Linked DNA regions of Drosophila melanogaster. The protein of the gene in region 1 purifies or fractionates together with the protein of each later gene. This does not show direct contact. Each region holds a gene or a part of one and is shown on either strand. Other genes may lie near its edges. The genes, in order: Grip91, gammaTub37C, Grip128 and Grip163.

The links.
Region 2: the proteins of Grip91 (region 1) and gammaTub37C purify together in Drosophila melanogaster (affinity purification with western blotting; 4 studies listed by BioGRID, with this or other methods). This does not show direct contact.
Region 3: the proteins of Grip91 (region 1) and Grip128 fractionate together in Drosophila melanogaster (co-fractionation; 3 studies listed by BioGRID). This does not show direct contact.
Region 4: the proteins of Grip91 (region 1) and Grip163 fractionate together in Drosophila melanogaster (co-fractionation; 3 studies listed by BioGRID). This does not show direct contact.

What each region holds. Positions count from the first base shown.
Region 1 is NC_004354.4:13,741,587-13,746,361, forward strand, and holds the start of Grip91 (Gamma-tubulin ring protein 91), read right to left. Parts: upstream 3,098-4,775; 5' UTR 2,813-3,097; coding exon 2,698-2,812; intron 2,149-2,697; coding exon 730-2,148; intron 656-729; coding exon 463-655; intron 392-462; coding exon 70-391; intron 1-69.
Region 2 is NT_033779.5:19,183,217-19,187,608, reverse strand, and holds gammaTub37C (gamma-Tubulin at 37C), read left to right. Parts: upstream 1-1,882; 5' UTR 1,883-1,956; coding exon 1,957-2,005; intron 2,006-2,074; coding exon 2,075-2,277; intron 2,278-2,385; coding exon 2,386-2,976; intron 2,977-3,035; coding exon 3,036-3,566; 3' UTR 3,567-3,746; downstream 3,747-4,392. Other genes in the region: pigeon, read right to left, coding at 1-530, 589-890, 954-1,358, 1,417-1,480; CG46059 (uncharacterized protein), read left to right, coding at 4,274-4,392. UniProt on the Drosophila melanogaster protein: Tubulin is the major constituent of microtubules. The gamma chain is found at microtubule organizing centers (MTOC) such as the spindle poles or the centrosome, suggesting that it is involved in the minus-end nucleation of microtubule assembly.
Region 3 is NC_004354.4:15,467,626-15,473,755, reverse strand, and holds Grip128 (Grip128), read left to right. Parts: upstream 1-1,636; 5' UTR 1,637-1,716; coding exon 1,717-1,836; intron 1,837-1,891; coding exon 1,892-2,380; intron 2,381-2,489; coding exon 2,490-3,107; intron 3,108-3,167; coding exon 3,168-3,667; intron 3,668-3,734; coding exon 3,735-5,242; intron 5,243-5,306; coding exon 5,307-5,350; 3' UTR 5,351-5,475; downstream 5,476-6,130. Other genes in the region: mh (maternal haploid), read left to right, coding at 1-862; Alg14 (ALG14, UDP-N-acetylglucosaminyltransferase subunit), read right to left, coding at 938-1,513; CG15641 (uncharacterized protein), read right to left, coding at 5,482-5,850.
Region 4 is NT_037436.4:11,992,624-12,000,147, reverse strand, and holds Grip163 (Grip163), read left to right. Parts: upstream 1-2,009; 5' UTR 2,010-2,097; coding exon 2,098-3,123; intron 3,124-3,184; coding exon 3,185-3,338; intron 3,339-3,399; coding exon 3,400-3,764; intron 3,765-3,822; coding exon 3,823-6,083; intron 6,084-6,145; coding exon 6,146-6,395; 3' UTR 6,396-6,874; downstream 6,875-7,524. Other genes in the region: Pop2, read left to right, coding at 1-193; viaf (viral IAP-associated factor), read left to right, coding at 7,104-7,109, 7,279-7,524.

The DNA.
Region 1 (4,775 bases):
ACTTGGCAATCTAAAATATGTGCATGCACTCGAAACAACCGATAAGAAGTCTAATAGCCAGCCACTTACCTTTGCGTTGCCCATCTGCTCCTTCCAGATCTTCATCGAGAGCACAAACTCCATGTGCTTCATGCGCCAGAGTGGCTTGAAGAGCACCTTGTACGTTGGCATGGTCGACTCCAGCATGGCGGCCAGTGGTCCGTGGACAATGTACTGCAGCGAGATGATGTTCCAGCCAATATCACCGTTGAACGGTCGTTGAACAATCACATCGAGATGGTTTAGAATATCAGGATCATCGTACTGGGCATTCGTACAGCGCAGAGCGGAATCCAACATGGAGGTGAGATCGTTAGCATATATATCAAGGCCCGGTCGCTCCAGTTCGTTCCTGAAAAGGCGATTTTCAAGTGTTACATTAGAAATTGAAAAGTTTCAATTACATTCATCAAGAAAACTAACTTCATGTTTTCAATCAGAATGCTAATAAAATCGCCCTGGCCCAACAGCAAGTAGCGCCGCATTCCGTGCAAATGATCCAGCAGCTTGTGTGGGCCCACCATAATGTCGAGGACATGTTTGGAGGTCTGCTGGTAGCACGTTTCCACGGCCGCATGCCAACTGGTGTCCGGTGTGTACGAAAAGATTTGAGAGGCTGTAGATAAGAGCATGGAGCATTTAAATCATTCGATTTCGCTAATCCAATTTGAAGAGCATGCCTTAACTCACCACTAGATTCCATGACCTTCATTAGTTCGTCGCGCTCCTTCATCATACCCTGCTCCTCGCAGATTTCTCTTAGAAAATTAATGGATTTGCCCGTCATGAGTATCTTATTGGCCATATCCATGGGCACAAACTTGGGCAGCATTGGCAATCGTAGGCGGAATTTATCGTGCCATAGCCGATCAACGCCCACATCTTTAATGGACTTCACAAAGAACTCTCTATGCATATCGCTAATGCCGCCCTCCAGAATCCATTTGGAGATCATGCGCACCAGTGGGCCACAAATGGCAGTTAGGAGATCCTCCACCAATTTATTGACCATATCGTTACCGTTGTCAAGGAAATCATAAACGGTCGATGCCAAATCACCGCCCTTCTTTACCTGGCAGGCGTCGGCAATCTTGGTTAACCACTGCATCCGGTGCAGTGGCTTTATATACCAGGCGAGCAGCTTGAATAGCGTCATTTCATCGCCAGCATCGGGCCCACTATCCTTTTTCCCCTTGTTTGCAATTCCATTCACCGAGGCCTGCCGAAAACGCTGCATTTCATCGTGAAGCATTGCCACTTGCCCGTGAAAATTCGCCAGCTCCTCCTTGAGTTTGGAAATCAGGGCCTGGCCCATGCTGCCAATGGCATTGAAACCGGTCGATACATCCGAAAACTTGACCACTCGATCGTGGTAGTAGCCAAGTTCGGAGAGCCGCAGCAACATGCCCGCTTGGCCGGTGGTCAGGAACTTGATGTTCTGCTGATCCAGCTTGAAACGGCCCGTTACCACATCCTTCTTCAAATACTTCCCTTGAACGCCGGTGAAGGAGTAAATGGCACTCATCACTATATCATGTCGAGACTCGGGCAACATCTTTGTTGCATCCAGGTAGTTGGGCAAGGACTGTTTTCTCAATCCGATGCTGGACTGTGTGGCATCATAACTGTGGCTTGCTGCTGCTCCTGTTACCGCTGCTGCTCCTGTTACCGCTGCTGCTCCTGTTACCGCTGCTGCTCCTGTTACCGCTGCTGCTCCTACTCCATTTCCGTTGACCACTCCCATCTCATTCAGACTGGCTATGGAGGAACTTATTGAGTTAAGACGACTGACCAGAATCTGAGTGAGATTATCGCACTGAGTACGTGGATCTTCGCTGGCAACTGCCTTTTCGGCATCCGAATTGTCGGTCATCGTAAGTAGATGGGTCATTAGCGAGTGCCTCATGTGCGGATCGCACTTGGTCAACGTGAGTTTCCTGTACAGCTCATTGAAGTGATCCGACACAGTTTTGCCCTCCTCCTTCTTATTCCGGGCGCTCAGCAGTTTCATTATCTTCTGGACACATTCGCGCTCAGTCAACATATTTGAGTCCCGAATGACCCGACTATTGGCGGCAATCATTTTGCTTAAATGATCCATTGCTTTTTCTGCAAAAGATTGAACAAAGTGCATTAAAACAAGGGCAATGAAGCCTACAATTATGTATAGTGTCTAGTGTATGTGTTGCATTACGTATCCTTAGATTCATTGATTTGGAAATTGTACGTATTGAGGACCTTGAGGATCTAAGAAACTTGCTCATACTTTTATAGTTAAGTATATGTGATCAATAGTCATTTAAAAACAATTCAAAACTATCTACTTTCGGATAAATATCTTTGAATACTTTGAATTGTTTGTGGGATATATACATTAATTTTGAACATTTACGACTATGCAACACACTTTGGCAATGGTTATTGCTACATTTAATCTAGAACTATAAAAATATAAGTATATGTATTGTTAGTTGCATATCTCAAGGACTCTCTGTTTGAAAATGCCATGAAATATGTTGAGTTTCTGGGATTAACTATAATCCTGAAGCACGTGGTCGATTCCCAAGGGTGGAGGCCTTCTTCCCGGAATGCCAGAGCAGTCCGTATGCCTTGCGTGCCTGGACAGCCAGTGAGTGATTGCACATTCCCAAATCTCACCGTGAACTTCGGGCATCTGCTTGCCCTTGATGCAGATGATCATCTCGTTAATGATATTCGATATATCAGTGGAATTGGTTGCCACATCGATGCCGGCGATCCTGTCCTGCGACATCCTGGTGCACTGAATTGTTCATAAATATCCAATCAAGCGCGCGTTAAACAGCCGATTTTGGATGGCTTGGTAATTGCGAAGTGGACAACAACTGTTGGCCAATGGCAAACGCACAGCTGTTCCCTGGCTATAATACGGCGTGCAGTCACTGGCAATTGTTCGGGATGCGTGAAATCTTCGACAGATAGGACAAAAACGCATCCAATTGGCGCGTACTTCATACAAATAATTTATTAAAATTATTTAGTGCAGTGTTACCGAATCTGGGAAACTTGACAAGGCAAAGTCCTAGCCGCTGGCGGGCACACACTGGCCGAAGGTGCAGCGATCTGGCAGCGCTCGTCTGCAATAGGCTATGCCATTTTGATTATCGTTCTACATTTTACTATAAAAATGTATTTCTGTCGGAATGTTACTGAATGTAGCATTTTTGTATAACAGTTATGTTTAGAAGTGCAGCTTTCAGCTTTTATGTTAATTCCATTGCAAACATCTGACAGCTCTGGGGCCGCAAACGTTTCCAACTCTCACTCGCCTGGTCACACTGTCCGTTTTGCATTTGCAATTGCTTGTAAGCAAAAATGGTAAACTTTAAAATTGTTAATATTTAATATAAAGGCTGAAGACATAGATGAGACTGACCAACTGCGTTTCGCCATGGAGCACACCAACGGCTGTAATTGGCTACAAGTCGTGTTTGATACCTACTGCTGGGGGAGTTAAAGCTTAAGGTGCTGCAAGGATGTCTTGGAATTCCAATGGACAAGGACTTTCCTTCGTCGCAATGGGCCATCAGCAGCTGGATGCGGTGGAGCAGTACCTGGAGCAGCCAACCCAACTACCTAGCAATATGTGGGCTAATCCTGAGCCCCAGAAATCAAGCTGGAACCACCGAGTGAACCGGTGACCAAGAAGGATTCTTCGCCACCAGATTTGAACGCGAAATAATATGTGAAATAATATATAATGTATATAATGTGTATTGAAACAGAAACCTCCGGTATTTAATTTAGAACATAGTTAAACTCTCATCCGGTTTACCTTACTCACTTCTATACGTAATTGCATTTAATATCCGGAGATTTCTGTAACGAAAAAAAAGCAAAATAAATGTTGGCCCGATCCTAAATTATTTCCAACTAAATAAACGAATTTGCCCATTGAAAACGCATTAAAATATGTTTTTAATTTTTATTTTTGATGTATATTTTCTGCTTTTAACACATTAGTTTATATATATATATATGTAGATATATATATTAAATATATATAGATGTGTGGGCGCGCATTTTTAAGAATATGTCGAATTTTGTTTCTTCATGAAGTGTGAACATTTTAAAATATAAGTGCGGCGAAAACAAAGTCTTTTTCTTATCATATAAAATGCAGCTTTTATTCAATCAAAAAAAAAAAAAAGCAAGCAGAATAAGATGAATCCGTGGGTAAATATACGTATAAAGTAAAATTAAGCTTAATTATGTTAGTCTTCTGACACACAAAGTTACAAAAAAATTAAGGAAAATCATGTTTTCGATGCGCATAGGAATATTATAAATGTTTTTCTCAATTTCAAGTCAATGGAATTTGTTTTGTGTAATCATCAGAGTTTTGATTGCGTTGATAGCATAAATCATCATCATTGGTTCGTTCCAAATACAAGTTATTCAATCAATTCAATCAACCCAAGAGGTGTGTGTGAGTGTGTGTGTACGAGTGCCTATAACAGTTTCATGTAAATAATATGCTTTGATTTCATGTGGCATAATGACGGTCGTGCTAAGTACGCCCACTCGCATCCTTTATGTGAGATCCTAGCCACAAAAAGCGACCCATCTCTGTTCCTGTTGCTCCTGCTCGTGGTTCCCCGCATACTTTTGGCTGGATTCTTCTTTCTTTTTCTTTTTTTTGTGATCGTTTCACTCATATCTCCTTTTTTAACAAATATTTAAAATATACTTTCGAA
Region 2 (4,392 bases), on another chromosome or scaffold:
CGGAAAGCCTCTATCAAATGGGATTTGGGCACGGACAACGAGACCAGATCCAAGGTGGCCGCATCATAAGCCAGAGCTCCCCACTTTCGCAAAGGCACCAGCTGTGTGATATCGGGACTTCGATTGTGGGCTGCACACACGATATGGCAGTTCGGTTCGTGCTGCAGTCCCACGTCCAAGAGGTGGACAAAAAAGGCGGACGACACCAGCAAGTGATGCTGGCCGTGTAGCGCAAATGTTGGCCTCAGCAGACGGGCCTTTTGCCACGGCACACCGGGCATGACGCAGTGCACCACATAGCCGTGGTGAAGCAAAGTCACCGAGTAGGCAAAGTGCACATCCCTTTGCTCCGACTGCATCGGCTGGTACAGGTAGTAGTGACAGACGAAAAACATGCCCGAGGTGTCCGCCAGTATGATGAGATTTAGCGAACTATCGTGCACGCGCAAGGGAACCGCATCGTCATCGTAGCTTGGCGATTCCTCTTTGGAGCCATTGGGCAGCTTTGGCAAATTGAGGGGTATATTAAGCTGCAATAGAAAGATGTAACTACACCTATACGTAATACTTTAATCTTTAAGTACCTACCACTGTTTCCGTTGGCTGTTTTTCGTTAAACTGAAAGGCGGAGAGCGTGGGGCTTAAAGTAGGAGTTGTCTGCTCGCCAGCCTCCTCCCTCTCGTCCAGCAGACTGAGGCTCTTGGCCTTCGGCTTCAAGTGAATGTAATAAAGAGCCTGGCACTCGGGATCCCACTGGGCCCAGCTAAAGTTCCTGGCCAGCGTTTCGTAGGTCAGTATGCTGGTGTCTAGCCTCCAGGCGCTGCCCTCGCCTCCGCCAGTCGAGCATGTGGTGGAGCTCTGCTTGACCACGCAGCTGTACTGCTTGATGGCTAGAAAAAACAGGTACGAGCATGGGAGTTAGAGGTGGATAATGACATATACATGACACCTACATTCCTCGTGGGTGAGCACCAGTAGCTTGTCCTGCCAGCAGGTGCGCGTGGCACTCTCGACGCGCCACAGGAACTGCGTCATCATCTGGCGGTTGGAGGGCTCCGAGTTGAGGGGCGTGGCCGTGCCACCTTCGGAGCTCCTTACCTCCACGACAAAGGCCTGATAGAGCTTGCCCTCAGTTTTCTCCACGAAGGACAGCAATGTGACACTGCTGTTAATCGTTGCCTGGACGATCTCACGGCAATTGTCGAGGGTCCAAAGGAGTCGCAGCTGCTTCTTGGTGGCGTGAAAGTGGCCAATGCACGTCTCCTTGCGCTGATCCTCGTCCGCGTACTCGAATATCCAGGACGTGAGCAGAGATCCATCCTGTTCCTGGCCCAAAATGCGCCACTCGTTTGCCTTCTCTGCGATTTTTACGGACATCCATGAGGCTCGGAGTAAATTGGCGAAATACGAACTCACCTTTATAGCCCTGGCTGGCCAGGAGACCGCAGAAGTTGGCTGCCAAGTTCTCCTGCCGCAGCATTTTTATTTTTTATTCAATATTTGTACATAAACATTTGCAACGAATTTTTTCAATCAGCCTGCCAGTGTGCACGTTGCGCGCTTCTCAGAAAATAACGACTCCCGAGAACCGTTACTCGCAGCCACAGGGTGTGCTGTACAATTGAAAAAGCTAGTCCTTTAAATTTAAAAAAATAACAGTTAATGTTTTATGTAAATGAAAACATAAAAAATATATAACTATGGCTAATTTATTTGAACCTAAATATTTAAAAAAAAAATGGATCAAATCTTAATTCTAAGTATTTTCTATAAGTCCAATAACATTAAATAAATCATAAAGATTAGTAAAGAAAAATAGGTAATAACTTACTGTTGTATTGTACTTCTTGTATATCGATATTAATGACTTCCACTTCCATCTCCAGTTGGCCTTCGATGCACAGTTATTATTTACTGAGAAAGAAGCGAAATTAACTAAACTGCAATTCGAGCAAAATGCCCAGCGAGATTATAACCCTTCAATTGGGCCAATGTGGCAATCAAAGTAAGTTCTTCACGTCGAAATCGAAGTTAAGAGAAGCTCCGGCTTGATCGAGATCACTCCATTCCGCAGTTGGTTTCGAGTTCTGGAAGAGATTGTGCCTGGAGCACGGCATCTCCCCGGATGGCGTCCTGGAAGACTTCGCCACCGATGGACAGGATCGCAAGGATGTGTTCTTTTACCAGGCGGACGACAACCATTACATACCGCGGGCCGTTCTCATAGACTTAGAGCCCAGAGTCATTAACAACATCATGACCTCTCCGTACTCCAAGGTCAGTGCGGAAACTGGTCTTATTGGATCGGATTCTGATCTAATCTACTTTATTTTATGTATTTCATTTAAAAAACTATGTAGATGGATATGTGTTTCCCCTTTGCAGTTGTACAACCAGGAGAATGTGTTCCTCTCCAAGCACGGCGGTGGAGCAGGAAACAACTGGGCGTCCGGCTTTAGCCAGGGTGAGAAGGTGCAGGAGGAGGTGTTCGACATTCTGGACCGCGAGGCCGATGGCAGCGATTCGCTGGAGGGATTCGTGCTCTGCCACTCGATAGCCGGCGGAACTGGGTCCGGAATGGGCTCATATGTCCTGGAACGGCTGTCCGAACGCTTTCCCAAGAAGCTCATACAGACGTACAGCGTTTTTCCCAATCAGGACGAGATCAGCGACGTGGTTGTGCAGCCATATAACTCGATCCTTACCCTGAAGCGTTTGACCAAGTGCGCGGACAGTGTGGTGGTGCTGGATAATACCGCACTGAACCGCATCGCCACCGAAAGATTGCACATCCAAACGCCCACTTTTACGCAGATCAACAATCTGGTGTCCACCATCATGAGTCTGAGCACCACCACCCTGCGATATCCCTCGTACATGAACAACAACCTCATCGGTCTGACCGCCTCGCTCATTCCCACGCCCCAGCTGCACTTCCTGATGACGGGATATACTCCGCTAATGTCCGACTGCGAGGTATGATGATATGACATATGTAAATGGGAATGCAAATAAAAAGAGGCAACCACTTTCAGACCAAGACAAGCGTTCGAAAGACCACCGTTTTGGATGTAATGCGTCGCCTTCTGCAGCCGAAGAACATGATGGTTTCCGCGCTGACGGACAAGCAGAGCCGCCAGTGCTTCGTCTCCATACTGAACATCATCCAGGGCGAGGTGGATCCATCCCAGGTGCACAAGTCGCTGCAGCGCATCCGCGAGCGAAAGCTGGCCAACTTCATACCATGGGGTCCGGCCAGCATCCAAGTGGCTCTGCCGCGCAGCTCGCCCTATGTGCAGTCGGCCCACAAGGTATCCGGATTGATGATGGCCAATCACACGGGTATCAGTTCGCTCTTCAAGAGGGCCTTGGCCCAGTACGATAAGCTGAGGAAGCGCAACGCCTTCCTCGACAACTTTCGCCGCGAATCCATGTTCCAGGACGACCTGACCGAACTGGACATCGCACGGGACACGGTTGACTGCTTGGTGCAGGAATATGAGGCAGCCACCCAGATCGATTATCCCCAGTGGAGTCCTGCTGTCGAAGCTTCGAAAGCCGGTTAATCGATAATTATTTATAATTCAACCGTCAATACTTTTTATTTTTTTTATCAACAATAATATATGTATTTAAAATACTTTATAATCAATTTAGGAATTATAAAAGTTTCCAGGAATGATTCAACTTACATAAATCAAGCAAAAATAACTCTGAACGAGGTAGGAAGTAGTAACGATCACACCTCAACACACAAAAGTTCTGATATCAACTTTTGTGTGAAAAAAAGGGTTTTTTATTCAACTAAGGATATACAATAACTAAAATTTACTTATTCGTTAGTTAGTTTAAAGTTGGTCAACACAATCACTAATTCCACATCCACATGTATCTTGATATGTGTACATTTTTATAGTCATATTGGCTTTGATTTTTCATGTCACTTCACATTTCCCCGTAACAGACTGAGCGAAATGAATTTTCCATTCGTATTCCAAAATTCGATGTGTTAACACCTTTGAAAATAGTTTGTGTCTTACGTTTTCCGGTACCTATTTTGTTGTTTCTAAGATCCTATTTCTGTAAATAGGCCAAATGTAAGTGTTTAGTTCACATTGCATAGAGAACAATCTAATTTGGTTTAAAGTCCACTTAGCTGCCCTTTTAGAAGGAAATTAGGATACCCTGAACGCTTTTCCCCAAGACAAAATAAAATCGTAAGTGAAAACAATTTATATGATTAATTCTTAGCTTTCCTTTCACTTGGAAGATCATGTGCTGCGGACCCTGTGGACCTCGCTGCTGCGATCCGTGCGGCGGATGCTACAACTGCTGCGTGGAACTCTGCTGTGTACCCTGCACCCCAGCCTACATCCAGTGCTCATTTATGCC
Region 3 (6,130 bases), 1.7 Mb from region 1:
ACAGAATAAGAAAAAGAGGCGTCGTGTTTCCAGCGACAGCGAGATAATCAACTGGGAGTCCTACGATGATGACGTAATGGTCAGGGATGTTCATACGCCCATCGTCAACTTGGTCGAAAGCTCTAGTGATGAAGAGGAGATGAAGATGCCAGCTGGCAGAAAAACCATGACCAGTCAGGAGCGCACGCAGATCATCAAGCGCCAGGTAATGGAGGATGAGTTGACCTTGTGTGAGGACGATATCCTCTTAATTGATGATGAATACGACGATGAGGTGGCCGCAAATGAATCTTTAACAGCCGCCACGGAGCTAGCTGACCAATCCATTATAGATGATATTTTTGGAGAGGACACCCTGCTGAAGGAGTTCCAGCGTGAGAACGACGTGCAGCCCAGTTGCTCAAGCTACGCCAAAAGAATTGAGAACGACATCGTATCTTGTCCCATTTGCTTTGAGAAAATGAGGCGCACTGAGTTGTCCAATCACTTCGATGGCTGCGCCATTATGGTGCGCTTGGAACCGCCATCGTTTAAGCCTAAAAACCGCCGAACAACTGCTTCCTTAACCTCAAAGGACTCGTCGGGAGCTTCCACATCACGCCGCGCTAAATCGAAAGCAAAGTCATCAAAAGGAATTCTTCGCAGCTCCGGTTACACAGAAGGGGAGATCGACAAGCTCAACCTGAGCTCCTCTACCGACTCGTCTACTCTGCCGTCTAGCGAGGACGAACTTACTCCGCGTCAGCGCCGCCAGCGCAACCTCTTCAAAGAGACCGTAGGCTGCCCCAGATGTGGCCTGGAGATCATGCCTCTACACCTGAAGGTCCATGGATCCGTCTGCGCTGGTCGCAAGAAGCGCTAGGACAAAAAACATCTCATACAAAACATAATTCGTTAAATAGAAACTAATGTTAACTTTAATGTTATTAAAAACATGTTACAGGATTCGCCCAAAATATCGCACATTCTTTTTATCCAAATAGCGCGTGGCCAACGCCGGCCAGTGGACCACAAAGAGGTCCGCCAGCGGAAGGAGCAGGCGTCCGCTCAGCGACAGCGTCTCCACGCGGCAGAAGCTCTCCACGAACACTATTCTGGAGTGCGAGGGCAGGCGTCCGAGGAGGCGCCACAGATAGGCGGCATAGCAGAAGGGCACACAGGTGCCGGGTCCATTGCAGAGGATCAGTTGGGGGCGATCACGCCAGACCAGATAGCAGCTCCAGAGAAGCGCCCACAGGCTGGTGAAGATGCTGCTTAGCCAGGATTGGCCCACGTCGCGGCTGCGCGGCACCTTCACGAATTCCGCCCTCTGGGCAGCCTGCGGCAGGACCTGCCTGAACTGGCGCTCGGAGGTAGAGTCACTGTTGGCCAGGATCAGTCTAATTGGCTGGTACTTCTCCGTCTGTTCGATGTCTGTCTGTTGCAGCAGCGCCTGGGTCAGCCGGCACATCTCCGCCGTGTGGCCGCCAGAGCCCAGTATTACGTAGGTGGGGTGAGGCGAGCTGGTCGTCATATTGCCCTTCGAAAACTCAATTTAAATGACAACATTTACAATTGTTTACGTTTCAAGTCGATTGTCGATCATCCACGAACAGCTGTTTCCATTGCTATCGATAACTGAACCGATAATTATGCCGGTGTACCATTTACGTTGTTGTCATTGCTGAGGGCGCCATTTATAGAATTTATTGGATCTCAATCAGAAAGCGGAGCGAAATGGCTCCTCCCGCCCAGAAGGGTAACCTACGGAAGCGCTCCGGCAAGACCTCGACGGCAGTCAACTCCGCCATAAACGAGAACGTGCGAAAACTGGTCAGGAGCCTGTCGGAACCGGGGGTATGTTTTAAAACAGATGTTATCCCTATTCCAATTTAACCAACTTAAAACGCAGACGAGCCAGAAAAAGTTGCGCCAGATGGAGGATACGGCATTGAAGATAATCGCCAACCAACGCAGGACATGGGCTCCTACAACGACGGACATGGAGGTGAAACGCAACCTGGACGATCTGGCAGAGCGTTTTCGGGCGGAGGGCATGGCGTCTTTTGGTGAGAGCATCAAGGACTTGGCCATCAGGTATTTGGCTATGGACGAAAATCAACAGCAATTCAATCCTAACCCCGGATGGCAAATGCTCGAATTGCTGTTTCGCATAGCCGATAGGCCGGTGCAAAAGATCCGGCTGAACCGCGAGTTCATGGAACAGCGCCGTCTGTCCATAATTAATAGCATGGAGGAAGCCGAGCGACAGGCACAGATAGAGGAACAGGCGAAACTGGAGGCAGCCAAGAATACCTCCGAAACGGAGGTGGACTGGGCAGCGCTGCTGTCCGAGGATTTTCTGGATCCGCCAGAGGATGACAGCTCGGACAGCTTAAGTGTGAGCATCTAGAGAACCCCAAACATATGTCATCTGCTACACATATGTAGCCTGTTCTTTCCATAAAATCATTTGCAGCATACTAATACCTTTACCTTCTTTCCAAAAGGACTGGTCGGAGGAGTCGGACTGCGACTCGACAACTACTCTGAAGCCCGATGAAAATATTGGCGTCTCGCGAAGCCTCTTGGAAATGGCCAGGGTGTACGAGCAGGCCATGATGGCAGTCGTTCCGACTGGAAGTGTTAACAAAACGTATATGCCGCCCGAGCAGAGCGTGATCCGGAGTTACGACTTTCGGATAATGAAACCAACTGTTCTAAGCCTCAACAACTTAAAGGGCAGCCATCTGAGACGAAGCAAGCTGCTCCAGTTGCCGCCACCCCAACCGCCCCGACCATTCACCCAATATTGGCAAAGTGGCAACACAGATACGCTCTTCCGTAAAATCCATTCCCACTGGTGGTGCCAAGATGTCCATTTAAACGCCCTGCCCTCCAGTGCTAAGCCACTGGACAACTTTGCCGTCAGCTACGTGCAGTTTCTGAATCACAATGCCCGAGGCTTGTTGGCCCTGCCAGTGCCGAAAACCATCACGGAGCCCTGTCTGCTAAGGGAGATCCTCTTCATGTTTGTGCGTCCAGCGAGCTGTTGTTTCTTTGAATTCGACAAGGCCACGCGACGCATTACTGTGCGTGACAATGTCAGTATTTGTACGGTGACTGCGGTAAGAAAGTCGAATCGTTAATGTGTAACTCTATCTTTAGTCCGGCTTTTTTTTTTGTAGAGCACAATGCAAAATTTTCTGTTATTTGATGTGGTGCCTGCGCTGGAGGACATGATGGAACTGCGTCACATCATCGATACTCATACGTTGCATTTTCATGGCGTAAAGACAACATACACCGTGGAGTTCTTTGCATACGGCCTGAGAGATCTTGTCCAGCCCATTTGCCAGCTCCTCATCGCTTACGAGGATCGTGTCAATAAGGATCCAGCGAAAAATACACTGATCCGTTTTACGATTGAGTTCAGGGAACATTTTAGCCAGCTGCGCTTACTGCGAGAGCTGGCCGAAGATGTCATCCTGGATAAGGGACCTGCGCACATACGCAGTGCCTACTTGCTATCCAGACTGTATAAGCACACCTTGCTGCAGGTGCCGCACCAGAAGCTGGCCACTGCCCTGCTGTTTATATCTCTCAAGCGATATTGTATCATCATCGACGGCTGGTGGCGCAGGGCCGCGCTGGAAGATCACCTTCGCGAGTTCATCGTGGAGTTTTGGTAAGCCAAAATGGTGCTCACACATCACTCTGGCCAGCTGAAGTCATAACTACATTGTTTTTAATAGTTACGAGGAAGATGCGAACACACGTAGCCACGTGCGCAAACGAAATATGGGAATGGAGGATGATTTGCTACTCGTGGAGATCTTCAACAAGCTGCAATCCTGCCCACTCTACCAGCTACTGCTGGAGCATGCCTTGGAGTCTGGCGAAACGCAAGATTTGCTATGTAGTGTAAATACGCTGAGCGAAATGCTGACCAGCAACAATGAAATCCAACTGCCGTCGCTGCACGATGAGCTGTTCACGCAGTTCTTTGCGCAGCTAAAGGTTTACTGTGGTGCGGACAACACGGATTACGAGGATGAGCCGGAGCCGGACAAAGACTACGAAGATCTGACTGTGTGCAATAGGCAGGGCATTAGGAACCATGAACTTTTCGCCATATTTACCCAGCCGTTGGTGGAACAACGTTTGGAGCGACAACGTGAGCGGCTTAAAAGCAACCCCGTTCTAATGGCCAACATTTTGAAGCGCTTGGAGCGCTCCACATGTCTGCAGCTGAAGTCTGAGTTGCCGGAGGCACTGCGCGAAATACTGCGAAGGAGACAGTGGCTGGCGAACGAGTACGCGATTCGAGCGTACTGCAAGGAAACGCAGGTGGCCGAGAAGATGCGATTCCTGCGGCATACGATGCTGCTGGAGAAATACTACCTATTTGTGCCATACTACAACGCACTCTTCGTGCGCATGGAGAAAAACAATAGCTGGGCACTGGGTTCGGTGCTCACTTCTAAGCTATGCGCTGTGCTCCTTCCGCATTATCCGCAATTGGCTCATTATCTTCATGTCAAGTTAATATCCCAGATAAACTCGAATTCAATCAAGGTCTATGAGGCCCTGGAGGCTATTGAACTGGACTTCGAGCGGCCAATGGCCATGCACCAGTGGTACATTCTCACACCCGCGCACATGCAAGACTACAATTCGGTGTGGCGTCTGATGCTGAAGGTGAAGTGGGCCGTCTGGAAGCTGGAGAATATGCAGTTTTTGCGTCGCGCTAGGTTCAATCCCTGCGCACCACTGGATTTGATCGGTCTGACCATTCGTCGCCTGGAGATTGTGCGCTTCTGGTTAATTTTCCTCATCAACAACCTGCACGCGCACATTATGGAGGCCGTGAGCCGGCAGTTCGAGCTCAGGATTGGCGAGTGCAAGAATGTCCGCGAGTTGCGTATCATGCACGACGAGCACCTGGCGTGGCTGAAGACACACTGTATGCTGACCGACGAATTTAAGGCATTCCGCGTCGCCCTCGACCAGATCTTTCATCTGGTCTACGTGCTGGACATGGAGTGGACCACCTGCGCCAGCTGCATGCACGACCACGATGCCCTATGCTTGGACGTCACCATTTCGGATGACGGCATTGATGACAGCGAAACGCAACGTCGTAGCTTGGAGTACCTGGCGCTCAACCAGGTGGCGGAGATCGAGTTAACGTACATACGTTGCCACCAGATGCTGGCCGACATCCTTAACACGCTGGTGCACCAGAACGATCACGGATTCCGTAAGTGATTGTTGGTCCCGAAATTTGGACATTTGAACTTACTCTTTTTCACTTCGTCTTGCAGTGTCTGCCTTGGAGGAGACCATCAACTCCAGTGTGCCCCATTAGAATCGAATCTCCTCCACAAAGGATCTTGTTAAACATTACGCATTACCATCACCTGCACCACTACCTATAATCCCGACCAAACATTCCCATACCAACTGAATTAAAAGCAGCTTATCTTTGTTGACAAAACCTCACTCGAACTCCTCATCGCTGTCGCCGAAGGGCTCGACGATCGGTGGTGGCGGCGGCAGGGTGGTCACCTCGTGCAGCGTGGGTCGCCGGATGTACGGCTGGCAGGTGAGCTCGCACATGCGGGCGCTGGCGAAGACCGTGCGATGTGGGTAGCAATTACCGTTGACGTGCTCGCAGCGCCGGTAGGCGGATTGGCGATTGAAGACGTACAGATCGGCGCATGGCGAGCAGTTGGCCTGGCCTATCAGTCGCGTCTGCAGGCACTGGAAGCGGCGATCGCTGGCGCTGATGCCCATGGACACCTGGCGTATGGCCATGGCCAGGGCGATGGCCACCAGACAGCAGCAATGCACTCCTTGCCGTCGCATAGTCCGTTGATCTCTGCCGCCTCGCCGCTCTATTCGTTTCGCTTCGCCCGTTTAGCTGGTTTCTCATGGTTGGCGTGGCGCTAATGTGTTCCGCCTTCCTTCAATCTTCAATCTGCAGCACCTCAATGTTAGGCTAATACATATTTGGAGCAGAAAGTAACCCTTTCCAATAGTTTAAACATGTCAAAAAGAGTTTGGAGACAGGCTGTAGCTGAATATTTAAATCGAAGGAGCTTGCGGCAGGACCTTTTCGAGTGCGGGAGCAGGCAGCTTAGGTCCT
Region 4 (7,524 bases), on another chromosome or scaffold:
ATACAATGGGGGCCCTGCCCCCGACGAATCTGCGATAATCAGCAGTGGCAACGGCACAGGCAACACCAACTCCACCGAGCAGTTCACCTCGAGCGCCTACATGGTTACACCTCCTAATACGCCCGGCATGGCCAAGAGCGATGCCGCATCGCTGTCCAATCGCCATACGTCTATTTCGAATAGCTTCGGATGATTAGACAGCTCGCTCGCTGGTGTTGCCGTGCACTTGCCACTGCTAACGTAACGTGCCTCCGCCCATCATAATCATTATTCCTTAGGTTTAAGGTTTTTCATGGTTGTCATAACGCATTTTCATACATAACTCATCTATGTACTTAGTTTTTTGTGACCTGCACAATTTACAGAGCCAGTGACCCAGAATTTATGAATGAAATCCATAATTTGAAGTGTTCTTAGTAGTTAGTTTGGAGCTGTTAAACCCATGTGAAACATGTTTATTTAGCTGTAATGCCCGCGATACGAATTGAAATGAGAAACGCGCTGGATTCGAATGGAAAATTAAATGAATTGGAATTAATTTTCTTTAAATGTTTATTTGCATTCTTTGGTGTTTGGGCATGGCATATGCATATCATAGCTTGCTTGATTTCATATGACATCTTTTTAATTGTATTGATGTTCATTTTAATTTATGTTAAGTTCACGCTCTTCATTTATATCGAATTAACAAATTATTCTTTTGTAATTTTAAGCGCTTTGCTGACATATGTTTCCACACGGTTTACTGTGTGTATCAGCGTACCAAGACCTTTATCTTCTAGAGAACTGCCGAATAGTTTTGAAATAACAAGAACATTGCAGAATAAATCCCATCCCATACTAACATTCATTAAATATGAAATTTACTAATATTGAAACCTCGTCCAATCACATCGGTTCTGCGGTATGTAACAAATCCTATCTACAAGTAGGACCCACCCATCTACTTGGGATTACTTTCTAAGACTTTGCTGCCGTAGAAATATGTGTGCTTTATACGCTTTGTAGCTCCCAACTAAAGTTGCTCGCATTGATACATCCCATAATTACCATACTTACCCAGAAACTGCTTTCTAACCCATTTGTGCTGTCCCATTCGAAAAACGATCCAATGTTCTGTACCTGCCTAATGAAACTTACAATCTTTGCAGATGTTCTTCGAGGACAACATCGACCATGCGAAGTACTCCGGACACCTGTACGGCCTGGGTACCTCCTTCATCGTCAATGGCACCAACTTCCACGACAGCAACGGTGAGACGAACAGCGCTTCATGATTCGTACTGATGGGGAACGTGGTCGTGCACGACAGGAAGTTCGAGCAGGAGGAATCACCGGGTCCGTCGGCATCTGTGCAGGCCACACCACCTGGCCAACTGATCCTAGCCGTAACAACACCATTGCAGTAATCTGTGGACAGTCGACACAGATCGTTCCCATTTGTGAACAATTATACCCCGTTGGCCATAAAGCTAACTTCTTGATGTTTCCCACGCAAGTTCAGATGAATAGGCAACCGTTCAATACGAAAACATGGCATAAACTAATTGTAAATCGCATAGAAATGAAAAACCGGCAAAACTAAAATAGATTCAATTTCAAGTTCTGCATGTCTTAAATGTGTTACGAATACAAAACTAAGGTATGTAAAATTAAGCTAAAACTGTAAGCCAATGAGCGAAACAGAGAATATTGTGTATTTGTAAAAAGAGCAAAAAAACAATATATTTAAAACTTTTTAATTTAGTGTACATTTCGAAAACGTGTTTTTATTTGAAGTATGAATACGAATCGAGATGTTTGGTTTAGTAGAAAAAAGATGGCGAAAACCTGTAGAAAAAAATATCAAATATCAAATATCAAATCAAGAGAAACCAAGAATCCCAATATCTACAGATGAAAACAAAATTTTCAAGGGTTAAAAATCAATAGTGGGTTAATGAACATATAAAAGGTATTTTTAAAATATAACGGAAATACGCCGAAGTAGCAATAGTCGGATTTTTGTGAAACTGTGGTGCGGTCACACCGAGCCTAGTCCTTATGTTTTGTTTATGGAAAATATCTTTTAGTTTTTGAGTATTAAAAGCCAAATCGATGGCAACTGTGGCTGAATGCAATCACAGCGTCCTCGACCTGGTAACCAAAATGGCCACAATGCTGGTGGCCGATGAGATGAAGCCAAAAAAACAAACAGCTGTGCTGGTGGCCAAAAAGCGCTCCAAAATCTATGAATCGCTGCTTCACAGTGAAACGATGTCGTCCCAGGACAAGCTGGAGATGCTCCACCAGGTGACCAGCGAGGTGGCAAAGAACCCAGACCGGATGGACATGCTGCTCAGGTTCCAAAATCTGCTAGAAGGACAGGATAAGGAAGAATCGGAGATTACACAGGACCAGGATGAGGAAAACCAGTCCGAAGTGGTGATCAAACGTATCAAGGCAGGTCCACTGCAGCTGATTGAAACCATAGAGATTGTGGAGGAGGCACTTCATCCAAAGGCCTTTCCCGACATCAATCAAATGAATCGCGCCCTGAAACCCCTGCAACTACAGCCATACTCCGATATTCTTACAACGAGTAACCTGAATATAAATTTTCCGCCAGAAAAGCTAATTCCGAAGATCATACCATCTACTGTAATTCGCATGGGATTATCAGAGTCCATTACACGCATGAGGAACGAAATGGAAAAACCAATGCATCCACCACCCCGATTGCCAGTGCTCGCGAAAAAAGTCGTAGCTCCATTAGAGGATGAACGACCTTTTGTGGCCCAGCCTGGACCGGAGAAGCACTTCGTTTCGGATAAATTGTTGACCAACGAACTTAAGATCCTCCGGAACAAGAACCTGGTTCTCAACTACCTAGATGAAGCAACCCTAATCGATCACCTAAAGAAAGCAGCGTGTGGTATTGAATCTTTAACGTTTCCCATCTCGTCGGCAGATAAGTTGGAGTTGCGAGTGAGGCCCAACACAACTTTGCCAACTATGCTGCCGGAGGTGCTGGCGGATTTTGCAAATCACTTCATTCGTGCCGGCTGCGCCTTCCTGCGTTTGAGTTCCCGCACCAAATGGAACAATATCGCCGAAATGCGGCTGGAAAGGCCTCTAAATCGAGTGAGATTGAATACCTTATTTCCAGTAGTGATATATTCAACAATCCCATGCTTTCTTATAGGCCATGCGAGAGACGATTATGGACTATCTAAGCACCACTCGGCAGTTTTTGCTCTCTTTGCAAGCCGATAGCCTTTTCCAGCTGCTAAACAACACCTCCACAGCGATTCAGTTACTCTGCCAACTAGATAGGATGTTCGAAAATGAACCAAGATGTAAGAATGCCGCGACGCGAAATTATTTCAGAATTAATCTCTTTTATATACATTAATGCAGTAAACCTGAACACTGGGATAACTGGCTCCTTCCTGTTGAGCTCCATCTGGCTGGCCATCGACACCTGCGGAAACAAAGACTTCCTGCACCTGCTCATCTATTTCTTGCGCTGCATATCCCGTAATTATTTTATTCAGCTACAGAGATGGATCTACCATGGTGAACTAGACGAGTCGGTCAACGAGATTTTCATCAGCCGCTGTCTGAACACTTCACCGTCTTTTACAAACCAGTGCAGCAAAGAGTTCTTTGACAAAAGCTATCAAGTGGACAACGAGGCGATTCCTGAATTTTTAGTCGGTTGCGAAGAGGAAATTCTTCAATGTGGCAAATACAACCTGGTGCTAAGGGCATATAACGCTCAGGTATGCAGAAGATTATTCAAAACTAGAATCCATATATAATGATTTATTCTTTTTTTAGCACCCCGTTTTTGACGTGCAGTACCCGGATATTGTGGTTTGCCTAACGGAGCAACAACTCAAAAATATGCGCCGCAACCTGGCCGATAAGTATGCCATCATCTATAAACGTTTCGGATGGTGCAGCATGCAAAGCATTTTCGAGGACCGCATGGCGACAAAGCGTGTATTTGCCAATCTAATGGTGAAGCGAACGCAGGCCCATCTGGACGCGTGGGCGCAGAAGCAGCGTGAACTCCAAATAAAAGCGAATGCCCAGAAAAAACTCCAGAACGATCAGTTAAACGCAGAGCAGGAACGTATCCAGCAAAATCACTTAGAGAAGCGGCGTCAGGACATTGTTAATGAACTTGCATTTCAGCGGGAATGCGAACGGATGGAGGATAAGCTCCTGGAGCGGGAAAAGCAAGAGCTGCAAAAGAAAGTGGTGCAGCTAGCAGCTGTCCTGTCGTCCAGTCCTGACCGAAGCACAGTCAGCGATCTCAGTTTTGCATCCTGCATTGAGGAACCAGATTGTCTAGCAGAATCATCTTCTGATAAAGATGATGCAAATACAGAAAATTCAGAGGATGAGGCAACAAAACAGTTGGATAAGACTTTAAATGTTCCATTGGAACAGCCCGAAGCTGAATATCAAGCGGATGTAGATGTGGACCAACCACGTGGCAAAGAGTGTTCACTTCCCAATGTGTTTCAGTATCAACGGAGTCACTCGGACGTGATAAATTCTAACGAGCATCCAACAACCCAAGCAGAGTTCAATCGAAACCGCCAGCATGGTCTCTCCTCCGACCAGTTTCAACAGTGTCATGCCACGGTACATCTACAAGAGTCCGACTTACTTAAAACCGCTGCCAGCACGAGTTCAGGATTGCACGCAGAAATTCCTCAAGATATTAATGCTAATCTCAATTGCCCGGACACGAAAGAGCTGACCGAACTACAGCGAAACCGCAAGCGCAACGAGCATCATGACGGCTTCTTCAGTTTTAACTCTACCGAAGATGAGCACACCCATCGATTGCGTTCCCTATTGAACTCAAATACTGAACGTGGCAGAAATCGACTTCGGGTTATGGAGACCGAGTTCGGTCTAGGTTATAAGAACACGGATATAGAAACAAAGGCCACGCCCTGTTTGCCTCTCGAAATCGACAAGCTTCACGTCGAAATTCCCCTGGCGGTGCTAACTCCAATGTCCACCACTTCCGATGTGGATTTCGGTGATCCGTCGCCACGGGAACTACCAGAAATAGCTGACACTGCTAATAATAACAATGTTAGTGGGAGCATTGAAAGTTTGTCTCCGGAGTTGCCAAAGCCCGTTCTTGCAATTGCTAAACCAACTAGCTTATTGCCGAAACTGGATTTTGGAATGAAAGATGAAAGGGAGACGGAACAGGACAGAGATAAAGTTAGCACTTTGCCCGAGGCTTGCAATCCGTTTATGGCCCGCCGCTGCCTGCAGCTCTCCGTAATGGCGCCCCTTAACGCATACTACGGACTGCTCCGAAATGAAGTGCTGAGAATATTCCAGGAGCAGCGTATCTACGAGCATTTCCGCAAGCTCAGAAACTACTTTTTCCTGGTGGACGGTCAATTTGGAGCTACACTCACGAACGAAATTCTAGGAAGAATAAGGGCGGGCGTTGGGCCACGAAGTCTCAGCCAGAAGGGCATCCTTGACACCATTTTAACCAATGCGCTGGCGGCTTGTTCGGCGGATGAAACGACGGTATCGGAGAACCTTACCCTCAATTGTACCACCATCCCGGATACGCTCAACTTCCTGTCCGTGGAAGCCACTTCTATGCTAAAGCTGAACTGCAAGATTGATTGGCCTTTAAACATGGTGATCAGCTCGGAGACGATTTCAAAATATGGCCAGATCTTCGGGTATCTGCTGAAGCTTCGTCACGTTAGTTTCGTGCTGGATGGAACCTACGAGTATCTGCAGCAAATGGGCAAGCTTCTGGGACCGGAACTTCGGACATGTACTCATTTCCGACACATGCAGATGATGCGCCACAAGATGTCGCACTTCATGACCTCGTTTCAAACGCATCTGGTGGCCAAGGCCCTGTTGTCCACCTGGAAGAGCTTCAAGGAGGAGTTGTGCACAGCCGATTCCATTGAGGCGTTGTACAAGCAGCATGTTGCCTACTTAAAGCGGGTAGCCTTCCTAGCACTGCTAAATCGACGCAGTGCGAAAGTAAAGGAAACCATTGATAATATCCTAGTGATTATACTACGCTTTTGCAAGTGAGTTTACGTCTTAAATAGTCTGCTGATTCATTTTATTCTTTAATTTAAATGTTTTTCAGAGTCATTCAGTCGCAGTCCTTTATTGTGGATCAAGATAATTACTTTGTGCACCCCCGCTTCAAACGTCTGCAGCAGGAAGAGGCTGAGTTCGAGAAATTCTTGCAGTATCTCATCTATTTGGGCAACAAGGCGGCCGCTTCTGGTTACCAGGAGGAAATCGGTGACCTGATTTGTATTATTAACTTTAACCACTATTACAAGGTATCTGGGAACCATACTGGTTCCTCAATGGAGGACAAAAAGTGCTAGCCAATAATTGTTAGATAGGGAATTTATCTTGCCATTAAGCTGAGCTTAGAACATTTTAAAAAATATTTATGCATGCATGGCGTCTCCTAAATGTAAAGCTTCGGTGAAGAAAATCAGCTTTAAAGGCATTTATTTCTTAGTACTATTTCTTTAGTTTCGGTTAACAGTTTTGTTGTGTTGTAAGTTAATATTAATTTTCAAATAACCGGCTCAAATTAAAAGAAAATAATTTAATTAGTAACATCTAATAGTGTTTTAATTGAACTCGTATTAAATGCCGAAAAAACTGTTTTGAATATTTATCCATATCATTAATAGATTTCTGTTTAATATTTAAGAAAAACTTTTAAAAGAGACAATTGTCTCTAAAGTAGAATGTACGTATTAAATATTGTAATGAAACCAATGTCGACATGATTTCTTGAAACTGTTGATTCGAATTTATAAATAAATGTGCTTATTTATGTATGTCTTACCATATTTAATATTTAATATTTAATATTTAATTCAAACGTATGTAAGGTATCGCTTCCCTATCATCTCTAAGTGACTGTGCGCGTACGATGTATCGGTATTCGCTCCATCCCTGGTCATGAGTCACTTCGTGTAGAATAATTCAGTTTTATTTTTAGTTTATAAAAGCGCTGCACGCGATCAAGAATTTTATATTTTTAAGTAATTTATTTCATCGAACTATAATCAAAAAACATGCAGGTAAGATGGACTGTTATAAGCAAATTATATTTATTATCCGAACAATAAGGTTTTTCCATTTCGATAAATGGTAATGGTGGGTGTGTTTTGGTGCATCCAAAAATAAACCCCATATTTGGTATTGAAAATCATGAATGAAATGAAACTCACGTGGCCTTGTTGTCCATAGGACCCAAACGAAGATACCGAGTGGAATGATGTGCTCCGAGCCAAGGGAATAATTGGGCCCAAGGCGAAGGAGGCGGAGATCACAGAGGATCAGATCCAGAAGCTGATGGACGATGCCATCCAGCGGCGCACAGATCTGCCACTGAATGAAGGCCAGCGCGACAAGAAGATCGACGACATGTCGCTGGACGAACTCGACGAACTGGAGGATTCCGAGGACGAGGCTGTTCTAGAGCAGTATCGCCAG